Danio rerio: one gene and its partners. The protein of the gene in region 5 interacts with the protein of the main gene of each other region in a biochemical or structural test. Links are inferred from orthologs where the notes say so. Each region holds a gene or a part of one and is shown on either strand. Other genes may lie near its edges. The genes, in order: ep300b, mterf4, sdc4, cuedc1b, si:ch211-202a12.4, itcha and cdkn2a/b.

Region 1 (3,500 bases), on a different chromosome or scaffold from region 5:
CCCAACAGTGCTCTACCTTAAGCACCAGCTGGCATGAATCGGGCACAGCCGCCCAGTTCGTGCACGTACACATCTGCATATATCCATTTGTCGGCCCGCAGTCAAATTTAAAGCTTGATGTATTGCTCTGAAATACAATCAGATTTAATCAAAATAACCCCGCCCCCCATGCTTCACTTGGCTGTGCACCAGTTTAGGGAAGAAAACACATTCACAGTTTCCTTTTCATGCAGAATTTAATTTAATTATTTAAAAAATAAGTATTATTTTTATTTAGAGATCTATCCATGTAAGAAGTTTGCTAAAAACAAAATTGTTCTAATGGTTGCATTATAAATTTTTATACGTTTGTAGTTTTTAAAACATTTGCATTTCAACAATTAATTCAAGTGTTAATAAAAAGCATAACCATTAGGATTTTATACTAAATTGGGTCACACGTTATGGAAAGACACTATTTCTGCTCTTAATAAGCAATTAATCAAAACTTTTATCTAAATAAACAACTAGTTAACTACTAAACAACTACTTATAATTACCGATTCTTGATCATTAGTAAGGTAGTAGCTGTGTTTGGGTAGGATTAGGGATGTAGAATAAGATCATACTTTATAAGTGCTAATAAACAGCCACTATCTTAATGATAAGCCAGCAGTTAACAGTAGCGATTGGTATTTAAACTGAAGTGTTACCTTAAATTATGAAATAGAAACAGGAAAGAAATGTTTGAACTCTGTTCCTTTCACATTCACAGAAAGATGTTTGAATCTATTCTTTCAAAAAGTAAACCCAACTGTGGATACCTAAATTTTGACACAATGTAAATACATTTAAACATCTCAACAAATTACTCCACCCACACATGTATAATTTCCAAATATAGCTGTACATTCCATTTAATAAACTCTCTTATGTTGCATAAAATAATACAATGCTAGCTTTTATTTCCAGTATAGTTAAATCACAGTTAAACTTGAGGCTGTTGTTTGTTATTGATCATGTGGAGTGATTATAAAGGATCTTCTGGTCTTTCCTAGATGGTCCTCATTCAGATCCGTCTTTAGTTCAAGCCACTGGTCCCAGTCAGATGGTCAATCGCATGCAGAATCCTGCTGGTATGCCACACTCACTAAATGGTCTGTAGTTGATGCACTATTGCTACATATATATGAAGGGTTTATGTGCAAAGACAGATTAGTCCATTTTTAGACATCATGTTTTGTACAATTGCCAAAAAAGAAATCATATTTTCACCTTGAGTGTTAAAGAGTACATTTGCAAAAAAAACTCATATATAACTGTTGATTTATCTGTTTTTATATGAACTCTTCATATATATAAAAGTCATAGTTTTGTTTTTGACTTATGTTTTAAACTTTGTAATTGCTTTCATCCAGGTATGAATCAATTTGGCCAGGTGGGGATGCAGCAACCAATGGGACAGAGGGCCACGCCTCCCCTGCCAATGGGTGCAAACCTCAATCAGGTAATTTCACTTGCCACCCAAAGGTCGGCGACTGATGTAAATGTACCTGATTGAAGCATTTATTTGGCATCTTTATTGTCTGTATTTAGATGAGCATGCAGGGAACACCTCGAATGGCTCAGCCCAATGTACCCCAGTTACAAAACCAGTACATGCAGAACCAGTTTACAGGAACGGGTGCTGGATTGGGACAGGGTGCGGTTGGCCTGAATCAACCTGCAGGGCAGGGAGCCATGCCGCAGGTCAGCTATTAAACCACATTCATATCTTGTTACTCAGAACAATGTGATGTCTCTAATATTTCTGTATGATAGTGTGTAGTGGTGCTGATAAGAGTGTTTCTCTTCTGAACTCTCGTGAAAGACAATAGCATAAACAGTTTTTAAAAAACAACCTTTATTTATTGAAATGTAAGCCTCACTCAAATTTAAATTTAAATCTCTTTAGATTCATTATTAGACATAGGTTTATTATTAAACATTCATAGAATTTAATGTTAAGAAGTAAGTGTGTAAGTGATGTTTACCATCATTTACATTTTATGATGAAAAATCATTCTGATGTATTCCTAATGTTTAAGTTAGTAATATTGTACTTTAAAACATTAACAAGACATCGTATCAGCCAATAGCTTATAGTTTATAATATTTGCCATTTCTGTGTTTTCAGTGATAGTTTAAACCAACCAATGATCAGTTCTGATTAGATCACATGCTGTATATAAAGTAAATGTAATGCAAACCTTAAAGACTGTGAAAGTAAAATAAAGTCTAGTAACAATAAAAGCATATTTTAACTGGTTCTTCACTGACAAGTTTGTTCAAATTTATTTAGATGTATAAATAGGGCTGGGTGATACTGCAAAAAAAAGTATCACAATATAGTGTTTCATATCATTCGGTATCATAAAATTTTTGAATTTTTTTTTTTTTTACAATTAATTTAGGTATATTAAGATTTTTTTAACCACTTTATTCTAATTTACCAATATTACTAAGGCACATCGTTTTATTAGATAAAAACAAAAGTATTTAAACAAAACATCTCATCTCTTCATAATAAAAAAAAACATAAGTGTTAAAGAGACACCTAAACTTGATAAATAAAATGTTACAAAGTGTGTGCAATGATAAAGTGTAAACGCTGAAGAATCGAAGCAAACTTTGAGGTGTGAATAGTAATGATACAGTAAACCTCAAACTCTTGTTAACAACACAAATTATCATAATCAAATCTGAGCTTTTTAAGTAAAGGACCCAGCCATTATTATTCAAATACACACTGCAACATTACAAATAGTGGAGTTCAATGACTATATTACCCCCTAAGCTAAAAAAAAATCTTTCAGATGGGGAGCTAGTGGCTGGGAACCACAAGAAAAGAAACCAAAAAGCCACTCTAGCAATACTTACATCCTTTTTTATTTACAATCTTCTAACTGCTGCTAGTCACGACACTCATTTTTGTGTGTGTTGTTATTCTGACGTGAAGTGACAAGTGTGAGCGCATGGTGTCCCTCACCATTTTCTATGCGATTTGCGCTTGCTCTCCCCTAACATTAAGGCATTAACCGTTTTCTCAGAGGATGACAAATAGACAAACCATTGCTGCAGTTTCGATACAAGTTTATGGAGAAAAGTAAAAAGCACATCAGTGTTTGGATGCGCTCTGATTGTCTGAGGTAATTAGTCTGCCGTTATTATCGAGATGTGTGTAATATGAAAATATGTGAATATATTCTATAAGTGTGAAGCAGATTAGTTAGTTCTACTTACATGAGTCGTGGTACGCTTGCGGCATTCGGAATAGTTGTGATATTTTCAACTATATGCGCCTGGAAATTGTGCGTAGGTGTGTGCCGCTTGCACAACATGTGTGCGTTGCTCCCATATGCACGACGTGCAAGTCACACGACTCCATTGGAAATGACAAACTTGCACCATAAGCTTATTGGCAGTGCTCAGCAGCCACATTTTAATAAAACTATAGCACTTGATAACAAAACATTATACTG
Region 2 (4,028 bases), on a different chromosome or scaffold from region 5:
ACTTCATCGAGTAGTTGTGAAGACACACCATTGATATTTTGGCGGTGTGCTTTGGGTCATTGTCCTGCTGGAAGATGAACCGTCACCCCAGTCTGAGGTTAAGAGCACTCTGAAGCAGGTTTTCATTCAGGATGTCTCTGTACATTGCTGCATTCATCTTTCCCTCTATCCTGACTAGTCTTCCAGTTCCTGTTGCTGAAAAACATCCCCACAGCATGATGCTGTGACCGCCATGCTTCACTGTAGGGATGGTATTAGCCTGGTGATGAGCGGTGCCTGGTTTTTTCCAAATGCAACGCCTGGCATTTAATCCACAGCGTTTAATTTTAGTCTCAACAGACCAGAGAATTTAATTTTTTATGGTCTGAGAGTCCTTCAAATGCAAATTCCAGGTGGGGGGTGGCTTCCATCTGGCCACTCTATCATATATGCCTGATTGGTGAATTGCTGCACAGATGGTTGTCCTTCTGTGAGTTTCTCCTCTCTCCATAGAAGAACACTGGAGCTCAGACAGAGTGACCATTGGGTTATTGATCACCTCCCTGACCAAGGCCCTTCTCCCCCGATCACTCAGCTTTAGATGGCCGCCCAGCTCTAGAAAGAGTCCTGGTGGTTCCAAATATCTTCCACTTACGGAGAAGCCACTGTGGAGGCCACTGTGCTCAATGGAACTTTTAGAGCAGCAGAAATTTTTCTGTAACCTTTCCCAGCCTTGTGCCGAGACAATCCTATCTCGGAGGTCTACAGACAATTCCTTTGTCTTCATGCTTGATTTGTGCTTTGACATGCACTGTCAACCCTGGGACCTTATTTAGACAGGTGTATGCCTTTTCAAATCATGTCCAATCAACTGAATTTACCACAGGTGAACTCCAATTAAGCTGCTGAAACATCTCAAGAATGATTCGTGGAAACAGAATATACCTGAGCTCAATTCAGAGCTTCACAGCAAAGGCTGTGAATGCTAATGTACATATGATTTTTCAGGGTTTTTTTTTTTTATAAATTTGCAACAATTTCAAAAAAATCTTTTTTATTCCACATTGTCATTATAGAGTATTGTGTGTAGAATCTTGAGGAAATCTATTTTGGAATAAGGTTGTAACATAAACAAATGTGGAAAAAGTGAAGTGCTATGAATACTTTCAGGATGCACTGTATTAAAGCTGTAGGTTCAATTGGGCTGAGGACAAAGACAGGGTTTGTACATATGTGTAGTTTTTTTTTTTTTTTGCCGCTTCTGTAAAGGGGATTTATTTTAGTGTGTGTATCCAGTCTATATGTTGATAGCAGGAAGTAACTTAAAAAACACAGCTGATTTGTGTGCGATTTGACTTTTAAAATAGTTACTGATATTTTGTGGCATGATGAAGGCCTCAGTCTTTAGTAAGTATATAACTATATCACATATAAAACACACATATCACGTAGGAGCAATTCCAGCGTTATTATGGATGCGATATTTGCAGTAAAAACTCAAATCATGAATTCACAAAGTATAGGTTAACGTTAATGTTATATTGAAGCAACTGTTTATATTTTCCAAAACAACAAACCACAGAGTTATGGAATGAAAAAAATATCAATCTGCATTAATTTTTTATTTTTTATATGAGGAAAATAATCATGTCATATGGATGTCAAAAAAGTTTGCCAGTTTACAGTATACAACATACTTTTTAGAAATTCTTTGAATTAATCTGCACATCTCAAAAGAAATTATGCTAATCAAAAGATGTTTGCCCTCTATAAAATATATATATTTGAGGCGTTTGAGGGAAAAGTTATGAATGTGACATCATTATGGATGTGACACTTTTACGTTATGGATGTGACCGATATGAAATTGGCACTTGTATGACCATAGTTAATGAAATATAATTGTTTGAAAACACGGAAAGAGACATTTTGAGCTTTTTTCAAAGTACTTGCATAGAAACGGTTTCTCTATTTTGTTGAAAACATTTTTTATCATGGCAAGTTTGACATTTGCATGGAATGGCTCGTATACAACAATATCAGAACAATATTCGTACAACAAAACAACATTATTCTGAACTATAGCTACTTAACGTTGCCAAATATCTTTTTTTTTTACTAAATTTGATTGTGTTTTAAGAGTTTTTAAAGATACCTTAAGTATTTAGATTTAAAATAACATACAAGTGAGTATTTTAATGCCATTACATGACCCTAAATGATTTTATTTTTCCGTATAGAGCCCACTGCAAACGACTGAATGGCGCTTAGTGGCGTCTTCTGAAATTCGTGCTGAAAATGTATGATAGTGTTTAACGTTATTTCCTACTCAGATAAAACACTAAAACACGACACAAACTACATGTCGTGTATAATTGATTAATTTTAGAGGCTATGGACGATTTTAGCTTCAGTAGGGCAAAATGTTTTTGTAAATATTAGCTACACATGTGTTTGATCAAGTTTGAATGAAGGTCACATTGTACATCAAAACAATGAGACAACTTTAAAAATTAATTAAACGTAATGACATTTGTATTTGTTTTGCCAATAACCAAGAGCCCTTAAAATAAAAGTTAACGCCATTTCTCCAACTCGATTTATCGCAAATAAATGCAACCCCGGTTCCAGTCAGTGAACGACAGACAAAAAATCCGCGTCTAACCAACATAAACGCGATATATTAATGACAAATTCTGCAATTGAAGGTCCAAATTTAGCGTTCAAGAATCTTAATAGATGTAAAACATTTATTTTATCCCTTACACTGTACCTGTTTTATGCATACATGTGAACCCATAGCTGTGCTGCGTCAAAACACGACCGACCCCGCAACAACAGCCAGAGCTCAAAAGTTCCGGATGCTTGAATGACCAGAAATAAAGACCAGAGTAATTATTAAAGTTTTTATTGAAGAATTTCACTGACATCAACATATAATAGAGGCTTTACAAAGCCTGTGCGCATTCTGAAATAAAACCAGCATCATTAACAGATGAAACGATCTAAAAATACGCCAATAATGATTAATTTATAGCATAAATACTGAAATGTTATAAAAATAATTAAAATATTCTTAATTTAAAAGTTTAAAAATCAACCTAAAATTATTTTAAAGCTCTGAAGGCCTAATAACAAATGTCTAAAGCTCGAGTGAGTATCATCCTTCAGGTCTAGTGCGCCTGCTGCATGTTTTAACTGGACAATCCTTCAGCTCGACTCCGCAACATTACAACCAAGAGCACAACTCTGAGTGAAAAACACAAGACGTTTGATAAATACACTCCTGTTCCTTCACCAAACATGGAGATGAAGCAGTTTCTTAGCAACACAGATGGCTTTCATTCCCAGTGCCACTTTTGCTTTGCTCTTTGGCCGGCCTGGAATCATCAGCAGCAGCTGGACGGACAGATTCTGCATTAGTGCTCATGGTGACATTAGATGTAAAGTAGTAATTAGCTGAGCTGAACGCATTAGTGTCTCTTTCACAACAGTGGCTCACTCGTCGGTGAGATATTTCAACAGCTCAGACTGAAGCGCCGCCATGGTTCTCCTCTGCTCCTCGTCGTCTTCATCATCATCATCATCTTCTCCTATTGGTGTGTCTTCTAGCGAGCTCAGATTGTTTTCAGAGTTTGTGTAGAGGACTTCTGCTCGGTGCACACATGATGACTTGGAATCTTAGACAGAAATAAGTATGATTAGTCCTATTTTTTTTTTTTTTAGAAAATGTGCATAGCATGATCAAACATTTTAAGACCAAGCCATGAAATTATCATGAACAATATGAAAGGAACACAGTTCCTATATTATTTAAGTGTGACCCTGGACTCATAATCCAGTCTTGTTTTACATGGGTATATTTAGGCAAAATCCAAAAACACATTGATTAAATGATCAATTTGTCTTCATGCTAAAAATCATTAGACTATTACATAAATATCATGTTGGTGAATATATTTAGCAAGTTTCCTACTGTGGATATATCAAAAATCTATTTTTAATTAGTTATGTGAATTGCTAAGTACTTCATTTAATCAAAATTTAGA
Region 3 (4,091 bases), on a different chromosome or scaffold from region 5:
ATTTTAACCATCTTTTAACATGTATGTCCTGACCTAGGCTACTTACAAAATAATAAATATTAAAAATTATCATGTTTTAGCTTTCATGTTTCTAACATGTTTAACATTTTCTAGAATGTTTTAAAATGTTTTAGCAAGATGCTAGCAAGCAGTTTTCATTTTTTTAGCAATACCGCCATGATTTAGCATGCTAATAGCATTTTGCTAGCATGTTTTTACACATATCTAACATGTAAATAGCATTGCTAGCATATTTGTGTTTTAGCACATTGGTTTTCATTCTTCCAGCTTTTAACATGTTTAGTGTTTTAATCCAATCATGTTTGAGCAAGCTGCTAACATGTCGTTTGCATGTTTTATAATCCAGCTAGTTAATTTTAATGTTGACTAGCCTGATACTCAAATGTTTTATCTCATTGGTAGCACACTAACTTCATGTTTTATCATGTTTTGCTTTCATATTTCTAGCATGTTTAACATTTTCTCGAATGTTATAAAATGTTTTAGCAAGTTGCTAGCAAGCAGTTTTCATTTTTTGAACAATACTGCCATGTTTTAGCAAGCTAAAAGCATTTTGCTAACGTGTTTTTACACATATTTAACATGTAACTAGCATAGCATGTTTGTGTTTTAGCATATTGGTTTACATTCTTACAGCTTTTAACATGTTCAATGTTTTAAACCATTCCTAACATGTTTGAGCAAGCTGCTAACATGTAACTTAAATGTTTTAGAATCCAGCTAGTTAATTTTAATTTTGACTAGCCTGATACCCAAATGTTTTATCTCTTTGGTAGAACACTGATTTAATTTTGTATCATGCTTTGCTAGCATGTTTCTAACATGTTTTACATTTTCTAGAATGTTTTAAAATGTTTTAGCCAGTTGCTAGCACGCAGTTTTCATTTTTTTAGCAATACCACCAAGTTTTAGCATGCTATTAGCATTTTGCTAGCATGCTTTTACACATATCTAACATGTAAATAGCATTGCTAGCATGTTTGTGTTTTAGCACGTTGGTTTACATTCTTACAACTTTTACATGTTCAATGTTTTAAATCATTCATAACATGTTTGAGCAAGCTGCTGACATGTAACTTAAATGTTTTAGAATCCAGCTAGTTAATTTTAATGTTCACAAGCCTGATACCCAAATGTTTTATCTCTTTGGTAGTGAGATAAAACATTTAACATTTAAAACAGATTTAATGTTTTATCATGTTTTGCTAGCATGTTTCTAACATGTTTTACATTTTATAGAATGTTTTAAAATGCTTTAGCAAGTTGTAAGCAAGCAGTATTCATTTTTTTGAGCAATACCGCCATGTTTTAGCAAGCTAATAGCATTTTGCTAGCATTTTTTTACACATATCTAACATCCCTGCTGAAAAAAAACAGCTTAAACCAGCCTACGCTGGTTAGCCAGTTTTAGCTGGTCATCTCCCAGCCTGACAGGCTAATACCAGGCTGGAAATGGCTGAAAACCAGCCTGCAATGGCCAAAACCCCACTTAAACCAGCACAGTTGACCAACTAAAACCAGCCAACTTGCCTAGGCTGGTTTAAGCAAATTTTTCAGCAGGGATGTAACTATGCTAGCATGTTTGTGTTTTAACACATTGCTTTTCATTCTTACAGCTTTTAACATGTTTAATGGTTTATAACATGTTTGAGCGAGCTGTTAACATGGTTTGCATGTTTTAGAATCCAGCTAGTCAATTTTAATGTTAATACCCTGATACTAAAATGTTTTATCGTATTGCTAGCATGATAGCTCACTGATTTCATGTTTCATCATGTTTCTAACATACATATTCCTAGAATGTTTTAAAATGTATTAGCAAGTTGCTAGCAAGCAGTTTTCATTTTTTAAGCCGAAAAGTTTTAGCATGCTAATAGCATTTCGCTAGCATGTTTTTACACATATCTAGCTTGTAAATAGCATGTAGCACGTTAAGCTTAACATATTGTTATTTTTAACTTGGCTATTGGCTCTTCTTTCTAGTTTTTGTGATAGAAATGAATTTGAATAGTCTTGACTTTATACATTCAGTCTTTAGCCTATGTTTTTGCTTAATTTTTTCAAATATTATGCAAATTTTTGACAAAACTAAGTCTGATAACTTAATATATGTTACTGGTTAAAATATATGCTATATGCTTTATGAATTATTTTTCATATTTATTAAAACATGACAGATTTCTTATTATCAGTTTTCGTTGTAAGGCACTTCGGAAACACACACACACACACACACACACACACACACACACACACACACACACACACACACACACACTTTTTTCTGTCTCAGCAACAGATCGAGATCAAGATTTACATTTTTTTATTAATCTAAGTTAGTCTTTCGAGTGTAGGCCTTGACGAAAACCACATTTATGACCACGAGATCAAGACTCCAACCCTGCAGTCTAAAAATAAGAAAACTCAATTGGTGCATGCAGTGTTCAGCAGATGCTGTGGCTTGTGGGATCTTTTGGTCGCTTACAAATTTCTTGTTTTTAGTGAGATCTCTATTAAAACCATTTAAATGTATTTTCTGTCAAACATGCTAAAGGCTAACAAAACCAGCATTAAAACAATCAAGCTGATTAACAGAATGATTTATACTAAAATGTTTCTTTATAAAAAAACTTTGTGGGCTCCAGTGACTTATTGCTTCATTAAATATTACTAAAAGAGAACAACATAAGTTTTAATAATATATCTATACAGCTTACCAGTGTAAATCATCAGCAGAACATCAGAATGTGGAGGGAAAGTGAATGGAGCTGCGTTCCCCTCTAGTGGCCGTCGATGCACCATAAACATTAACTCACAAAATTACGTCATTTTTTGGAGGATTGCACAACAATGCAATTTCTTGTGCAATAGTGGACTGGCAGGTCCGATTTCATTCCAGTTTATTGGTGACTAAGAACAAGTCTTTTGTTTTAAGGAGAAATCTCGTATGTATACTTATTTGGCTTCAATAGAAATCCTGTTTCCATTCCATATAATTGTAACACACCCTTGTTTTATTAACTCATTTCTATTTATTCAATAACTTTAAATGCATATTAGCATATTAGCCATTGGTAAAGATCTAATAATGCACAAAATGTACAATAAGGTCTCTGATTTGATTTGTTTACAAACACTAACAATACATGTACTGTATTTAATAATCTTAGTTCAGCATGGACTAACGCATTATTAAAATCCAAAGTTGTGTTAACATTAAATAATGCACTGAGTTGTAATGTAATGTGTATTTATAAAGCGCAATTATTGTGTATGGCCATACACCCAAAGCGCTTCACAATCATAAGGGGGGTCTCTCCACACCACCACCAGTGTGCAGCATCCGCTTGGATGATGCGACGGCAGCCACAGGACAACGGCGCCAGTGCGCTCACCACACATCAGTTGTGTGGAGTGGAGAGACAGTGATAGAGCCAATTCGGTGGATGGGGATAATTGGGAGGCCATGATCATAAGGGTTGATAGAGGGACTTTGGCCAGAACACCAGGGTTACACCCCTGCTGTTTCACGAGAAGTGCCATGGGATTTTTAATGACCACAGAGAGTCAGAACCTCGGTTTAACGTCTCATCCGAAGGACGGCGCCCACTGACAGTTTAGTGTCCCCTTTACTTTTTACTGGGGGATTGGGACTCACACAGACCACAGGTTAAGCGCCCTCTGCTGGCCTCCCTAACACTACTTCCAACAGCAACCTAGTGTTCCCTAGTGGTCTCCCATCCAGGTACTGACCAGGCTCAGCCCTGCTTAGCTTCAGTGAGTCACCGGTCTTGGGCTGCAGGGTGATATGGAGTTAATATAAACAACTTTATTTTCATTACCTAACATTAACAAAGATGAATAAATACTGTAATAAATGTTGTTAGTAAATATATTAGCATTAAATATAAAAAAATGTTTGAAGAGTTACCATATTAATAATAACATCATAAACTGCATATTTGAATAACAAATGCCACAACTATTTATATCTTCTCAATCTTAGGAACACTCACCAGCCACTTTATTAGGTACACCTCACTAGTACTGGATTGGTCCCCTTTTTGCCT
Region 4 (3,500 bases), on a different chromosome or scaffold from region 5:
AGCTTGAGTTCAGACCATTAAACGGCTGATGCTTGTCAGCCAAAGGTTTTCATAATGAACTGTATGGTTTCCGACCTCATCTTGTTAACTGCTCATTTCTGTATTTGTTTTCAGTTTGAGCAGAGCTAATGGGGAGATCACGCAGTGGGACACAAAGCTAAAGCGCTCAAGACCAGACCGTCTACTTCCCTCGTGCCGGTGACTCCGTGCTGTCGTGTTGGATGCAGCTTAACAAGCAGAAGAAGAGAAGGAAAGGATTTCTCTCGCTCCAGTGGACTAGATTCTTTATAGTATGATGAAAAAGTGAACTTGCATACTTCCACAAACCAAAGAAACACGTGAGAGAAACACACAGAGAAGTTTTGTGGGAGACATCAGACACCATCGTTTCCCTTGTGGCGTGGTCGGTCTGGAAGGAAAACGGGGCTCCTGCAGGATGACCAGTCTTTTCCGACGCAGCAACAGTAATGGAGGGTCTCGGGGTGGCGGGGGCTCGGCTGCAGGCGAGCTCAACAACTCTAGGCCCAACCGGCAGGTTCGACGGCTGGAGTTCAACCAGGCTATGGAGGACTTCAAAACCATGTTTCCTACCATGGACTATGAGGTGATCGAGTGTGTACTGCGCTCCAATAATGGTGCTGTGGACGCCACCATCGACCAGCTCCTGCAGATGAGCATTGACGGGCAAGGCTCAGATGACAGCTCAGATTCAGATGACAGCATCCCGCCAGAGGTCAGTGCTTTTTTTTGAAAGTGCTTATAGGTTTTGTTTAGACTCGCTATTAAGATGAGTTTTGTTGATTCAGTCACAAAAGAAAGTGCAGGATTTCCAAGGGTCAATGAGTTTGTGAGTCTAGGGAACAAAATGCTCAGAAGTCCTAGAAAATAAATATGCATAGATGGTGGCCCTTTAAAGTGCTTACAATTATTTTGTGGAAGATTGAAAAAAATCATATTATTCTCTTCAGTTTGCTAATGGGTTATTTCGCCAACACTTTGTGGCCTGCGCATACTAGCTTGCTTAATTTACAGTAGTTATGAGCATTTACACATTATGTTAAAGGTGCAGTATGTAAGTTTGACACCCAGTGATTGAACTAGGTAATGCATTCCTGGATCAAAACAAACGCAAGCGCAGGTTGCCAGACTGAGGTCCAACAGGAGCGAAGTCTAAATTCTGATTACAATCGTGTTCTATATAAAAGCAACGGCACCCAATAGACCATGTATACAGTAGTTTTTGTTCTTACGAACACCTTGAATTGTTATGTAAGAAACGGCTTCTATTTCTTGCAACAACAACAGAAAAATTTTACAATGATCACCTCAGGTACACCTCATGTGCTTTATTCAGTGTTAAATGCTAATAATGTGAGTTTGAATCCTATTTTAAATTACGTTTATTGCCAAGCTACTGAAAACAGCAGCAGATAATTCACCTCAGGTCTTGAAAAATAAAATAACCTATTTGAAATTAAACTTTAGAACTGTGAAATAATGCAAACCAATGCATATCAGTGATTCAGCATGTACATTCATTAATGTTAAAGAGGGTTAATATGTATTAATTAGATTATAAACCTTACCACGAGTAAGTGCATATTCTGTGCTTCTGAATGGCTGTATTTACATTTCTGTCGTATTTTGTCTGGTGCAAACAGCCAAATTGCTTATCACTGCGTATTTCATCATGTAGCATGTTGTTAGGACACGCGGTTTCAATGTAACCTGCTCACCTAATGTTTACGTTCGTAATATTTATATTATTTGCTAATATCATGTGGAATCTCATTTTAGGGCTGTTGCCATCCACCAGAGTTCGCATTTCGGTCTCTGACGCATGCTTTGAAAGCCTTTCTGAATGAATGAATGAATGAATGAATGAATGAATGAAAAAAATACATTGTTTACCAACAAGGCAACCCGGGGTGTTGAAATATAATTGGCTAATGTGGCAGTGGGCAGGTTAAAAAAAAAAAAAACAAAGGCAGACCTTCCGGCATGTTACGCACATTTTTTTAAAGCAAAATAACTGACTTCAGCATTGTTTTTCAGATAAACAAGTGTCACTTAATGTTTCTTAAATATCTGCAAACATAATATGGTATTTTTATGCTCTAGAAGAGTCAAAACCGTACATACAGCACCTTTAAATGTACTTTGTGTTGTATGTTACCATGATGTTCATTCGCAAGCACAAAACAACATAGACAAACTGAAAATTATAATGTCTTAAACGCAAATTTCAAGATATTTTTCTTAAATGTAACCTTGCTTTCACTTGAAATGTGTCCCCACATTACATTTACATTTACATTTAGTCATTTAGCAGACGCTTTTATCCAAAGCGACTTACAAATGAGGACAAGGAAGCAATTTACACAACCAAGAGCAACAATGAATAAGTGCTATAAGCAAGTTTCAGGTCTGTAAAGTCTAAGAAGGGAAGTATTAGTAGTATTAGTTTTTTTTTTGTTTGTTTTTTTTTTTTTTTGTACAGTTAGTGTGATATTCAGAGAGGCAATTACAGATTAGGAAGTGTAGTGGAGACTAAATAGTTGAGTTTTTAGTCGTTTCTTGAAAGTAGCGAGTGACTGCTGTTCTGATGCAGTTAGGGAGTTCATTCCACCAACTGGGCAGATTGAGCATCTACATTAAGGGTATTGAACCTGGAAAGTTTTTAAAAGTTCCATAAATTTGAGGTTAACCCAGGTGTGGGAACCTCGATAAAGGTTTAAATGGGGACTATAAATGTTTTGAGTTCATTCACTTGATCCAATGGGCTACATGCACACAGACTTTTCATTTTCAGCCAGGCAGCCCAAGGGCTTCCAGTGAAATGTCTTTCTATTAAAAAATTGTCAAGTTTGAAATCTGATTTCTTTAAAAAATCAGCAATCTTCGCTGCCTGTTAGATATACGATATGAAGTGGGTCTCAGATCAGACAAGAAGCACTGAATTAAGTTCCGTTTCCCCCTGCCATGTCTTTAATATATGACAGTTTATTTTACCCCAGTATTTTCAATGGAATTTCTGCGATAACCTGTTGCTACTGACGCGTTAGTGGTTACAACGATCTTTCATCTCATTTTAAGCTTAAACAACTAAATGAATGCTTAAGTCTGTTTAACTGAATGTATTATAATTACATTACAACATCGATGCTGCAAAAACAACCTTGTAAAATTGAAAATAATCACATTTAGCTTTCAGCAGAAGCTTATCGTTGGCTTTAAAACTCAAGCTGTGCATAGAGCCCAAATTGACTAAAACAAATCTAACTGTTAAATGTAAACAAGGCAATAGAGCGCAGTAGTCAAATACAGAAGTAAAGCCTCTATTGATTTCCATTTAAGGAAATTGATTTTTAATTATAACTTGCAACCTTAACCAGCTGTTTGTTTGTTTTTCAACATAATTAGGAATAATCCCATTGAACAATTGAATCAGCAAAGAAAATTACATTATGTATGATGCTGTGCAGAGTCATAGTCAGAAA
Region 5 (4,020 bases):
TCAATGGTGTCACTTGGCTCGACCTCAAGGGTGATGGTCTTACCAGTAAGGGTCTTGACAAAGATCTGCATCTGTAAACAAATTATCAAAAGAAGATTAGCAATGACTAAAATTTGTACAGATTTATACGACTGATCTAAGATTTTACCTTAAATCTTCAAAAAGAAATCTTTTTGGAACACCACATGTTAGAGTTGTCGCGATACCATTAATTCACGTTATAATACTATACCAGCTGAAGTATCACGATACCATATAGTAATGCCATACTGTAATTCATAACTCAAATTATAAGGAAAATTGTCATAAATACTATATTTTATATGTTATAATAGGTCTACTTGAGTTTCATTAAATGAATGATGATTAAATGAATTTAATTTCAATTAAAGAAATAAGTATTATTTGCACACTATTTCACCTAAAATTTATTTATACTTTGTTTATTTTGTAGATAACTGATCAACAAAAAATACATTAGAATAAAGATACAAATAAACAAAATGGAATTTGTTACGAAAAGAGCATTTTTAAAAAAAAAATTATGAAAGTGATGAAAAATATAAGTGGTCAAAAGTTGTTCAAATATTACTATTTTGGGTTTTTCCATTTATTTTTTTATTTTTTCAGCCTTATCAGGGAACAATCCAAAGTAATTAAAAATATTTTTTTAAGACATTAAGTTGTTTTTAAGAGATTGCTGCGGTTGCTGTAGCTATTAAATCACATTGCCAGAAACAGAATGAACCGCTTCAGGTGTGCGTTTGAAATGTTAAAAAACATGCAACCTTAAGGGGCTCCACAGACTATTCAAATAAAATGGTCTATTGATGCACATATGTGTGAGCATTAATCACTTTCACAAGCAACACTACATAATATAGATAGACCGGTAATGAAGATACTACCGTTTACAAACTACAGTGGCACTGCCAGTATTTTGAAGCCACAGTATCGTGATGCTACCATAGTACCGGTAAACCGTGCAACCCTCCTACCACATATAGTATCTGTCAATCTGAGAGCATAGGCTTAATTCAGGGCAGGGCTAATGTGTTAGCACATCTATTACAATACAGAATGATTTTAGCTCATCCTTTCACAAACACAAGTTCTAAATCTTTCTCTGACCCCCACTAAATGTTTTATTAATCTGACGATAATTTAAAACTTCTCACTTTGAGACTTCCATGACGATGCATCAAGTTTATCATGTGACATTGCAGCCCTGAAGATTTATGTATATAATTTTCTCACTTATTTTGTCATTTTATGCAAACATTGGTTAACATCCTAAATATATTAGAAAATATCATATTCTGATAAATGAATATTATGATACAAACGCATCCATTTCCATTTCACAGATTAATAATGATCATGGGTGCCACCATGTTAGTGGAGGGATGCTGGATTTACAACATGTTAATTTATCAAATTACATGAAAGTGCCTGTTTAACTGGAAGAATAGAGTAAATGTTAGTTACCCTAACAGTTTGAACAAGGACATTGTCACATTGTGACAAATTATTATTAGCATATTAGCAAATTATTAAAATCTTTATTTTATGCCAATATCAATCCAGATGCTTCAAGCTTAAGTTTTTCTATAGAGCACAACCCTGTAGGGGTGATTTCCTCTTACCTGAGACAATAACTTAAGGGTGTCTCCTAGGTAATAGAAATCATTACGTGGACATGCATGCCTTGTAAAAGCTACTCTACATTAACCCAGAATCAGCTTTACAGAAAATAGTTAAAATTGAAACGGGGGTTATATCTATCTATCTATCTATCTATCTATCTATCTATCTATCTATCTATATCTGTGCACTCAAAATTCCGCAAATTTAAGTCCATGATTAATTCTATTTATTTACTAGAGTAAATGTGGGTAAATCTATATTTATTTACTTTTTAATAACAGTAATATTATTGACTTGTATGAAAATGTTCATCTGATTTATATACGATGCAGTTTGTACAGTGATTCTTTGTCTTTTAGTAGATACATTATATTAGACTTGCTTTGTTTACCAAATAAAGTGAATCTAATTGGATTTGCATTTTAAACATTAAATGAAAGTTTAAAAGATATTATTTTTAAATTCATATATTAAGGTTTTAGTTATGATACTCCCAAAATAATTCCGCAGAAATCCGCAGATTTTTAGCAAAATTCTACGCAAAAATAGCAAAAAACGCCCGCAGATTCCGTCTGGTCCTACATATTAAAAATGTTTGTTTTTTAGAAATATAATAAAAGTTGAGTTATGAACTTGTAATTTCATTCATACACTATATCGAAATAGTTATTTATGTTAACATTACCTCCTAAATTACATAAAACAATAAGTTACATAATTAAAAAATTGCACAATGTCATCATTTAAAAACGGTAATGCGCAACAACAAACATGGCCGCTGTACAGTAATATCCGGGTTCTTTGTTCATACAGCGCCATGACTCAGCATAATTTAATCTGACAAACTGCGACATTGAACAATTTAACAATTAAAAAGCAAACGTATCAATTTGGGAAAATAACATCGTATGAGTATTACTCTAGTCAAAGCATTAAGGACTGTAAAATTACTTCTTTACATTTAGTTAGGATGTCGAGGATATGAGCGCCAAAATCAATACAATAAACAGGAATGACGAAATATCAATAATAGTATACCTAAAGGTCTTTATGAAGGTTCTAAATCGAACTGGAATAGCTTTCTTACCTTATAAATATCGCTGAAACTGCTTCTGAAAGTGAATAAGTTCTTCTCTTCTTCGCAGAAAAATCAGCCGATGAAGCGAGTGAAACTGTTTTTATACAAACCCAACAGCGTGACGTTCTCATGTCACGTGAGCGGGTCTTTTAGTAGTCAAAACCTTTTTTTCGTTTGAAAAATTAAAATAAATGTTAAAACTATGGAATTATTTGATTTTTTAAAAATAAATACAAGTTATGTATCAATATTTGAAACGTATAATTTAATCATAAATTACCCATAAAGGAAGTTTCCACAATGTGCTGGAATGGGCTGGACTTGTAGGACAACCTGCAGGCAGTGATTGGCTGGTTTAGTGTTTGTTCGCTTTGCTATTGGTGATTCAGACAAGACCAGGCAAAGAGAAGAACTGACATACTGTATAAACAAAAATAGAACAGTCTGGAAAGATACATCGTATTACAGGACCAGAGATTATACAGCATTATAAAATATGAATTATAGTTAGTTGCGTGGGTTCCAGTGGATGTTTTGGTTGCTTAAAAGAAACTGATTGTGTATGGTAATAATGAACCCTGATATTAACTTCAGGGTACAGCTGAGTAAAGTGAGCAGGCAGAAGAATGGGAGAACAAAAAAAAAAACATTTATAAGGATACATTTGCGTGGAAAACAGAGCAAACAATAAAAATGTGATAATTGCAAGATTATACATTGGTCATACAGCGCAAAAAAGTTTGTGTAAAAAATTAAACAAGTTACTGTCATAAAAATGCTTAATAACAAATTACATAATTCAAGAGAGAATAAATAGAATTATTCTGAAAAATAACTGAAAGAAATCTGAGTAAAGTGTTAATCACACATTAGAATTACCACATTAAAGAGATCATTAAGGTGTCATCTGGATTGTTGAATGTCTCCGGACTGGAAAATTAGGTTTAAAAGTGGTTACAGTTTTTTAAGCCCCCAACCAAGTTTCATACTCCAGTCCTATAGGTGGCAGAAATGCACTTTCTCAACCACCAACAAAAAAAAATACATGATGGATTCCAATCTGAAGGGCTCATTCCTATGCCCTAATCCCTTCAGAGGGTTCCTCTAAAGAGATTAGCGCATAGGGATGAGTCCTTTCGAATTGAGTGTAGTGTGGAAAACCACACAGCTTTCCTGCTCAAAAGATAATTTCCCACCAAAGTATAATTAAATGATAATTGACACCAAGCAGCTTCCCTGCTCAAAGGATAATTTCCCAAAATGTTCATCGGTTTTATTTTTCAAACTCATTTATT
Region 6 (4,024 bases), on a different chromosome or scaffold from region 5:
GCAGCCGACAAATCTGCAGCAACTGTGTGATGCTATCATGTCAATATGGAGCAAAATTACTGAGGAATATTTCCAGCACCTTGTTGAATTTCTGCCATGAAGGATTGAGGCAGTTCTGAAGGCAAAAGTGGGTCCAACCAGGCACTAATAAGGTGTACCTAATAGTGACCGATGATTGTATATTCATTCATTCATTCATTTTTTTTTCGGCTTAGACCAATTATTATTCTGGGGTCGCCACAGCGGAATGAACCGCCAACTTATCCAGCACATGTTTTATGCAGCGGATGGGTGATTGTATGTTTTTAAAAATAATCTTTGAAACGCAGAGCCAGCACCTAAGCTTTTCACTCATCATAGTACACATGCTGCTGATGATGTGACAATAAAAGTTGTTTGATTTGATTTGTCATTATCTTTATAGCTGCAATGCTTGATATGAACAGCCCTTAACTCTGTAAGAAACATCTTCACCAAAAAAACAACAACTGTTGTGGGAAAAAAATGGAATAAATAATTCTCATTCTTTGCACTACAATGAAAGTTTAATAGGTGCTGCTGTTGTCAAACTCCAATAAGAGCATAAAAGCATGAAAACATACAGCAGCCTGCAGAGTGCAGACTATTCAAGTCTTATACTTAAAAACTTGATATGTAAACAATAAACAAATATGAGATTTTTTTTGTCAGTAATTATCTGTTAAAAGGTTTAAACATTGTCTTAATGCCTGGTTAATTTCTTCAGCTCCACACTGACAATTCTGAGGGGTTTATTGATCAACCAATGAACTATTATTCATGGTAACAGGTTTGAGTTTCATCTAATGCATCATTAACTTTTTCAAGTTTAATTCTGCCTGCCAGTGAATCAGGGTGGCGGCTAATATCAGCAATCTGTCAGAGAGGTTAGTTAACCACATAAAGAATTATAACGATTTTTAAGCACTTCATCAATTGTCAGGAAATGATTTTCACAAATCTGCAACCGTTGAATAACACTTGTTTATTGGGGTTTTGAATATATTAAGACTGAACGCTACAGGCAAATCCTTGATTTTTATATACTGATCAATTTTTGGACTGCTTCAGATTACTAAAGAGACAACATACTTTTAAGTGTTCACTTTATATATATATATATATATATATATATATATATATATATATATATATATATATATATATATATATATATATATATATATATTTATATTTGTGTCTGTAGTAGGCATGGGACGATAACTGTTTTCAAAATATACTGCGGTTTGGAAAAGTCAAGGTTTTAAAACCGCCAACATTTTCTGTAATACTGTTCATAAGGTATGTGTAGGATTTTTACTAACATTTTTTTAGGACAACACTATCTCCAGCAAAAAAAAAAATGTCCAAGGATGTCGTTTTAAATTGTAAAGAAATCTGTGTTTTTAAAACAGCAGAAGTCAATGATTTCTTTTAATTATTTAGCCTGACTTGTTTACTGCTTCAAAATATTATAAATCTTTCAGAAAATAAAATATATCGTTTTCAAAGGGGAAACAAGTTTTAGTTTTTTACCCAGACATTTAAAAATAATATATTTTAGGGCAGTAATCAAATACCGTGATACTGTGATACTTTTATCCAAGGTTATTCTACCGTCAAAATCTTAAAGTACATTTCTTTAGGGGATGTGAGCTTTTCATGCACTAAGTCAGAAACATTCCAGTTTCTTAAATAGGCATTTAAACGTGCATTAAAATGTCCAATGTGCTACAATACATATCTTTAAACATTCATTCATTCATTTATTTTCCTATCGGCTTAGTCTCTTTATTAATCTGGGGCCGCCACAGCGGAATAAACTTATCCAGCACATGTTTTATGCAGCGGATGGCGTTCCAGCTGCAACCTATTACTGGAAAACACACACACACACTCATTAACACACATAGATAATGGACAAATCAGCCTACACAATTCACCTATAGTGCATGTCTTTGGACTTGTGGGGAAAACCGGAGCACTTGGAGGAAACTCAGAGCAATCGTGCTGCCCTATCTTTAAACATTGTACTAAAAATTCATCTTTTTAAATTTCAATATTTTATTTAAACCAATAAATAAAAGATTACTGTGTGGAAATGTACAGAAATTAGTGCATGATTAAATAAATAACTCATATTCAAACTGCTTTTTAGAAATGTCTTTCTGTAACCATGTTGACCTGCTGTATCTTACTTTTTTATAATTTGGAAAGTATAAAGACATTAAAAAGCGCCATGAAATGACATCAGATGGTAGCCTATATCATGAACAGACATTAATTGTGCACACAATTGCATGGAACTATAATGGCATAACAGTTACTATGTAAATGTCGTGATATATACATTCAGTGCCTTGGATAAAGACGACAGGTCAGTTTTATGTACATACCATCGTTGTGTTATAACACACATACAGTTACAGTACTTTTGAGAGCAGTGACGTCACATAACGTTACTGACTGTCGGTGTCGCAGCTACAAAATTCAGCATAACAACAGACGGATGTTTACACGTAAGCTACATGCATATATCAAATGGAAAATGAAAACTGGCCGTTGTAAATCGTTTCAGACTATAGTTAAGGTACAGTAACGAGCTGTCAAAACATCACCTGCTAGAGTCCAGTAGTCAGTCACCGGTCAAACAAGCTAACGGTAACGCGTTACCAAAACACGGCTGGTTTAAAGCCATACTGTCCTCTATAGGTGTGTGTCACTAATATCTTACCGTGTTATGATCACAGGGAATGCTTCTAGATGTCAGTTTTAACGGAATCTGAGATCAGCTTTTCGCCGTTTTAATAAACTTTGCTCCATCTCAACCGGGTGACCAAAGGTCCGCCACCAGCACAGGCTCCATGTCGGAGTGACGTATCTGCGCGACCCCGTCACGTGACGACGCGCGCGTCTATCTGGATTATTCAATGCTTCTTTATACAAAGGTGTGCACTGCGCGGTATTTTACTAATATAAAGAGCGAAAGACTAGATATGTGTGTCTATACGTCAAGGTGAGCCAGTAATAGATTTCTTAAGATTATTTATAGGCTTGTTCTTTCACGAGATGGCGCTGTTTGACAGGGAAAGTAGTACAATCATCCATGGTGTTCACTGAAAGATCTTGATAGACATGGCATAGTTGTGGTTTCTATTTGAATGTTCATGTCTCAAATAGTGTTTAATTCATGTAAGTGTTTACAGTGTATTTAACTTAATGAAAATATGGATTCATTACTGTATATAAAATCAACAAAGGCAAAACTGTAAAAAAACCAAAAAGGTTGTGCACCATAAAATATTTAGTCATTTTTTGAGTTGACTTTATTCTATTATCTCAAAAGGTGTGATAGTTTAATTGACTTTTATCATTTTTACATTAAAAGTATTTTTTAAATTATTAAAAAATAAATTAAATAAACCAGGTTGTTTTTTCTGAACATGTTGGTCCTTATTTTATAGTATAATTTAATATGGTTGAATTGTTTAATTTATTCGTATGGTTAATTAATTTATTTTTAATTAAGAAGTTAAGCTTTGTGCAACATAAAGGGCACATATTTATGTCTGGCTGACATATTTTGGCTTAAACTATAACAGGAGCAAAGAATTTATTTGGTTTGAAACCGAATGTTTTATGAATGTCAAATGTCAAACTAACTTTACCGCGGTATCTTAACAGATTTATTTATTTATGCAAGTCCTTGTAAAAACATTAAACACTTAGGAACTCAGCTGTCACTGCATTTTTGCATATTTATTTGTGCATGGTTTTAGTACCATGACATTATTTCTAAATAATATTAATATACTGTGTTAAGGTATTTATTTATTTATTTATTTATTTATTTATCTGTGCAAGTGCTTATTCATTTATTCATCTATTTCTTTTCTTTTCGGCTTAGTCCCTTTATTAATCCAGGGTTGCCACAGTGGAATGAATTGCTAACTTTTCCAGCATATGTTTTACGCAGTGAATGCCCTTCCAGCTGCAACCGGTCACT
Region 7 (4,108 bases), on a different chromosome or scaffold from region 5:
TTATGCCTTGGTATAAATAGAAAGTTTCATTTTTATTAGTCGTACAATATTATAAACTTAATAAAAGCATGTTTAACCGGAAGAAATGAAAAAAGAAAGAGCTCGCCAAAAATATTGGATGTCCTTGCGTTGCAAGCCATTTGATTCAATGTTTGTCGCCATGCTTTTCAGGTTAAAAACAAATAGGTGGATATGTTATTTAATTATTTATTTATCTTTGGACATAATGCTGTCTACACTTTTTATTATGCGAACTATAGGCTAGCATGAGCGTATGATGGTTTGTGTCTGTAGCCTTTTATTGAAGTTCCCATTGACTAGCTAATAATAAATAATAATAATAAATAAACTTAAAAGATACAGAAATAAAATTTTAAATGATTAGAATCTCCAAACTACATGAATGACCATGTGCTATTGAGAATTATAAGTACTTGAGTGCATTAATAAGGTTACCACCTAAAGTAGCCTAGGCTATGCAGTGATGCAGTCTTTAAACATTTTAAACACGATTGAGTAATTCAACCACGTCTACGTTGCCAGTCTGTTGTGCCACATCCACTGGTCGTAAATCGCAGTGATCTTTTGTATTGGGGTCGGCGCCGAAGCGGATTAAAAGCCGCACGGTGTCAATGAATCCGGTTCTGGCAGCGTCGTGCAGAGGTGTGCTCCCTGTGTCGGGGTCAGGCACATTAGGGTCCGCTCCCTGTTCCAGCAGCACAAGAGCCAAAGGTGCGTTACCCATCATCATCACCTGGAGAGGGGGAAAATTGCTGTCTCATGAAAAAATAAACGCCAGTAACGTCATGATGTCACTGTAAAGAAGTTTGTTTAATCAATAATTTTACTGCCATCACTCGAAATCTGGAAAGTAGATACTTTTTGGTTAAATAGGAACGAAAGCAGTGCACATGCTGGCACTGAACATTGCTGTGCATGATGCATTACTCTTTTAGCCTATCAATAAATTATTCACGGGCAGTAAATCAATTAAATGCAACAAATTGTGTTGTAGCTAATTCTTATTTTTCATATGATTAATTATGAAGATTCCTATAATCATTTTAAATAAAATGTATGCCATAAATATGCTTTGTTCACATTTGTGATTTTCTTAAACATCTTTCGTTTAATTGACATTTTTCTGAGGCAATTCATGCTCGTCAGAAGTTTTACAATTGCCTAATCTTTTACGATTTCTGGATGTATGCTGTCCATCTGTTTAAAGTGTGCTAAAAGATATCTATACGCACTTTATTGTAGGCTACCTCTTCGGCTTTTGATGTCCCGTAACCGAGAGCATGAACCGTAAAACCATTGGACATTGTGAAAATTAGATGAAAACTTTCACACCAAATATTATAATAATAGGCCTACACGATTATAAAAACAAGCAAAAATAAGTATGGTCTAAAATATATACTCCATTAGTCTATGACTGTGCTAGTGGTGGCTGATTATTTTGGTCAATATAGGCCAACTGTACAAATGTCAAAATATTAAACGTACATTCGTAAAAACAAGCATGGCAATAAGAGGAAAAGGGTTTTCGCAGTGATGCCCTTCTGGTTCCGCACAGAAAACCTATTACAAAGCTTCCAAAAGAAGTATTTTTATTGTCAAAAAATGAAATAAACATTTTAATAGTTTAAAGGCACATTTTTCAAAAATTTTCTCCATAGATGCAAAAGGTTCTTCTTAAAACCATCGATGCCAACAAAGCTTTCGGGAGTGAATTAGCAAGTAGTGTGCCATTCTTCTCGCACATAGAGATATGATTTAATAGTTTAAAATTTATCTGAAATTAAGATCTATAAAATGTCTTATTTATTTATTGTTATGTATATAAATCTATCTATCTATCTCTTATATATAATTGTAAACATTTGGTTTTTATACACAGTTATAGTACATTGGGACTTTCGTTTTCAATAAGATTTTAGTTTTCTTTGAATAATTTGAACTTTGACAATACATCCAAAACTCCTTGTCTTATTTCGGACTAATTTCTAAGAATGTAGCTATAAGTTAAAATTATAATGTTAAAATTAATGACATTACTAAAAGATAGAAAGTGTTGTTAGTATTATATAGGTTGATAACACGCTATTGGTAAACATGTTTCAGGCCGTTTAAGTAGCCTAAAAGGTTCTTAAACATGCTAAAATGAGTAAAATAAATACACAAATAGCCTAATATTTAAAAAAAAAAAAGAAAAGTAAATCCCATATAGTCAAACAGGTGTGAAAATATGAAATAGCCTAAATTTGTTAAATAATATGACCTTTAATACAAAATAAGTCTTTGAATTGTATGTTACTAATTTAATGTTACATATCTGCAATTAATCTTATTTATTTATTTGCATTTGTTTATTTCCGTTGTTTATTCTTAAAGCGCGTCTAAACCTACCTGTATAGGCGTTCTTCTAAATTTGTTAACCACATTGGCATTCACTCCGTTAGAAAGTAAAAACTGAACATGGGAAATGTTTCCGGTGGCTGCTGCTGTGGTCAGTTCATCCTCGACGTTCATCATCTTTATTGATTTTCGAAATTAATTCGCTTCACAGGTAAAACCAAATGATGATGATACTGCGAAAACAATCAGTTCAACGCTGTAATTTATTTTTATCGGTCTCCATGAATAACATGTTCCAATATAATGCGTAAATAAGCGAAACTGACTCGTTTATCAAAGTGTTGTGTCTTAAAATAATTTTTCGTAGCGAGATATTTGTTCGGACTTGTCTCTGTCATAAACGTCACAGCAAAACCGTGGTGCAGTACTGTCATACTGCGCCTGCGCACAACAGCTGAGTCAGGAAGACATGAGTTTACGACACAGTAGGAGAGGCTGCAGAGAAACAGAAATTAGGTTCTGCTAATGTTTTATGGCTAATGTAACTGGCATTAGCCTGCTTTTAGATCACAAGAAGTTTTTTTATTCTTTTTTTCGGGTACATAAGCATATCACAACGCTAATTATGCTAACATAATTGGGTTTTGTGCCATGGAGAAGTTACTCTTCGGGAATAGGCTAACGTTACCAGGAAAAATCTCTCGTTTTTCAAGAGTAAAGTTATTTTATGGATTTTGATTAAGACGCGATGTTAGCTAGGCCTGTAGAGATTAAGTTTGACTTGGCTACTTTAAAGTATATTATTTAGCCATTATGCTGTGTGGGGCGCTTAAGTTAAACTATATTTTTGATCCACATAAATTATAACAAAAAAGCATATACATACATTCGTGGTAGCCTATATTTATATTTTTTTCATAATGGTTGTTCTGTTTTTGATTGTAGATGAACATAAATCTATTTTCTGCACGATAGAAAGGACGCGAATGGCCATAATTTTGCCCAAACATCGTCTGACTTACAGTTTTGTAATGCTATTTCCCCATCACACGACTGTAGCTAAACTATAGCCTGTATCCAGAAACAAGGTATTAAACAATTGTAGCAAATAGTTTTTAATTTTAGCAGTGAGTTTGTTGCCTCTCTAATACGTTGAAAATAAGTAAAAAGATAAAGGGTCCTGTGGCTGTGTAGATCATTTACATAAAGTAAAAATCACATTCTGAGATGCACCTGTTTAAAATGAAGAACAGTGTGCTTTTGTATTTAATTTTCTAACTTATTCATGTTTTGATGTTGTTAACATGTTAATAATATTGGTTAATGTGCATGCAAAATAGATACTAAAATATGAAATAGTAAATAAAATAATCATAACAAACCAACGCAGTACAATATTAAAGAAAAAAAATAGTTGGCAAAGCCCCACTGGCTAAGTGTTAATAATAGAAAATTTAATTTAAATGTCATAGAAGCAACGATTAAAAATGAATTATTTTACTTAGTTTTGTTGAATAGATATTAAACAACATGTAGAAATAGAATAGTTGAACTATGTAACTAAAAGATATCCTGCACAAAGTTTACTTCACAACTCCAGTAAATAGGCATGAGCATTTTAATATTTAATACCACAGTTGAAATTCCTACATTAAAAGGGGGAAAAAAGAAGTTTTGATTTGATTTATTTATTTTGGATCAAAAATATACATAAAATATCATAAAAAAATAAAATAAAATAAAAAAC

What was found.
Region 1: of the proteins of si:ch211-202a12.4 (region 5) and ep300b, one has a biochemical effect on the other in vitro, tested with the Homo sapiens proteins (2 studies listed by BioGRID). The link is inferred for Danio rerio from reciprocal best matches to the Homo sapiens genes UBC and EP300.
Region 2: the proteins of si:ch211-202a12.4 (region 5) and mterf4 form a complex in vitro, tested with the Homo sapiens proteins (2 studies listed by BioGRID). The link is inferred for Danio rerio from reciprocal best matches to the Homo sapiens genes UBC and MTERF4.
Region 3: the proteins of si:ch211-202a12.4 (region 5) and sdc4 form a complex in vitro, tested with the Homo sapiens proteins (2 studies listed by BioGRID). The link is inferred for Danio rerio from reciprocal best matches to the Homo sapiens genes UBC and SDC4.
Region 4: the proteins of si:ch211-202a12.4 (region 5) and cuedc1b form a complex in vitro, tested with the Homo sapiens proteins (3 studies listed by BioGRID). The link is inferred for Danio rerio from reciprocal best matches to the Homo sapiens genes UBC and CUEDC1.
Region 6: of the proteins of si:ch211-202a12.4 (region 5) and itcha, one has a biochemical effect on the other in vitro, tested with the Homo sapiens proteins (7 studies listed by BioGRID, with this or other methods). The link is inferred for Danio rerio from reciprocal best matches to the Homo sapiens genes UBC and ITCH.
Region 7: the proteins of si:ch211-202a12.4 (region 5) and cdkn2a/b form a complex in vitro, tested with the Homo sapiens proteins (2 studies listed by BioGRID). The link is inferred for Danio rerio from reciprocal best matches to the Homo sapiens genes UBC and CDKN2A.

Annotation. Positions count from the first base shown.
Region 1 is NC_133178.1:23,771,861-23,775,360, reverse strand, and holds part of ep300b (histone acetyltransferase p300), read left to right. Parts: intron 1-1,037; coding exon 1,038-1,136; intron 1,137-1,397; coding exon 1,398-1,486; intron 1,487-1,575; coding exon 1,576-1,728; intron 1,729-3,500. UniProt on the Homo sapiens protein: Functions as a histone acetyltransferase and regulates transcription via chromatin remodeling. Acetylates all four core histones in nucleosomes. Histone acetylation gives an epigenetic tag for transcriptional activation.
Region 2 is NC_133177.1:47,696,925-47,700,952, reverse strand, and holds the start of mterf4 (transcription termination factor 4, mitochondrial), read right to left. Parts: upstream 2,801-4,028; 5' UTR 2,780-2,800; coding exon of another isoform or gene 2,753-2,779; intron 1-2,752. Other genes in the region: pask (PAS domain-containing serine/threonine-protein kinase), read right to left, coding at 3,478-3,659. UniProt on the Homo sapiens protein: Regulator of mitochondrial ribosome biogenesis and translation. Binds to mitochondrial ribosomal RNAs 16S, 12S and 7S and targets NSUN4 RNA methyltransferase to the mitochondrial large ribosomal subunit (39S).
Region 3 is NC_133181.1:55,445,720-55,449,810, forward strand, and holds the start of sdc4 (syndecan-4), read right to left. Parts: upstream 2,801-4,091; 5' UTR 2,739-2,800; intron 1-2,738. UniProt on the Homo sapiens protein: Cell surface proteoglycan which regulates exosome biogenesis in concert with SDCBP and PDCD6IP.
Region 4 is NC_133190.1:33,810,655-33,814,154, reverse strand, and holds part of cuedc1b (CUE domain-containing protein 1b), read left to right. Parts: intron 1-114; 5' UTR 115-436; coding exon 437-733; intron 734-3,500.
Region 5 is NC_133180.1:42,862,380-42,866,399, reverse strand, and holds the start of si:ch211-202a12.4 (polyubiquitin-C), read right to left. Parts: upstream 2,801-4,020; 5' UTR 2,735-2,800; intron 72-2,734; coding exon 1-71.
Region 6 is NC_133181.1:60,243,379-60,247,402, forward strand, and holds the start of itcha (itchy E3 ubiquitin protein ligase a), read right to left. Parts: upstream 2,801-4,024; 5' UTR 2,753-2,800; intron 1-2,752. UniProt on the Homo sapiens protein: Acts as an Acts as an E3 ubiquitin-protein ligase which accepts ubiquitin from an E2 ubiquitin-conjugating enzyme in the form of a thioester and then directly transfers the ubiquitin to targeted substrates.
Region 7 is NC_133176.1:27,776,115-27,780,222, forward strand, and holds the start of cdkn2a/b (cyclin-dependent kinase inhibitor 2A), read right to left. Parts: upstream 2,801-4,108; 5' UTR 2,539-2,800; coding exon 2,413-2,538; intron 755-2,412; coding exon 503-754; 3' UTR 1-502. UniProt on the Homo sapiens protein: Acts as a negative regulator of the proliferation of normal cells by interacting strongly with CDK4 and CDK6. This inhibits their ability to interact with cyclins D and to phosphorylate the retinoblastoma protein.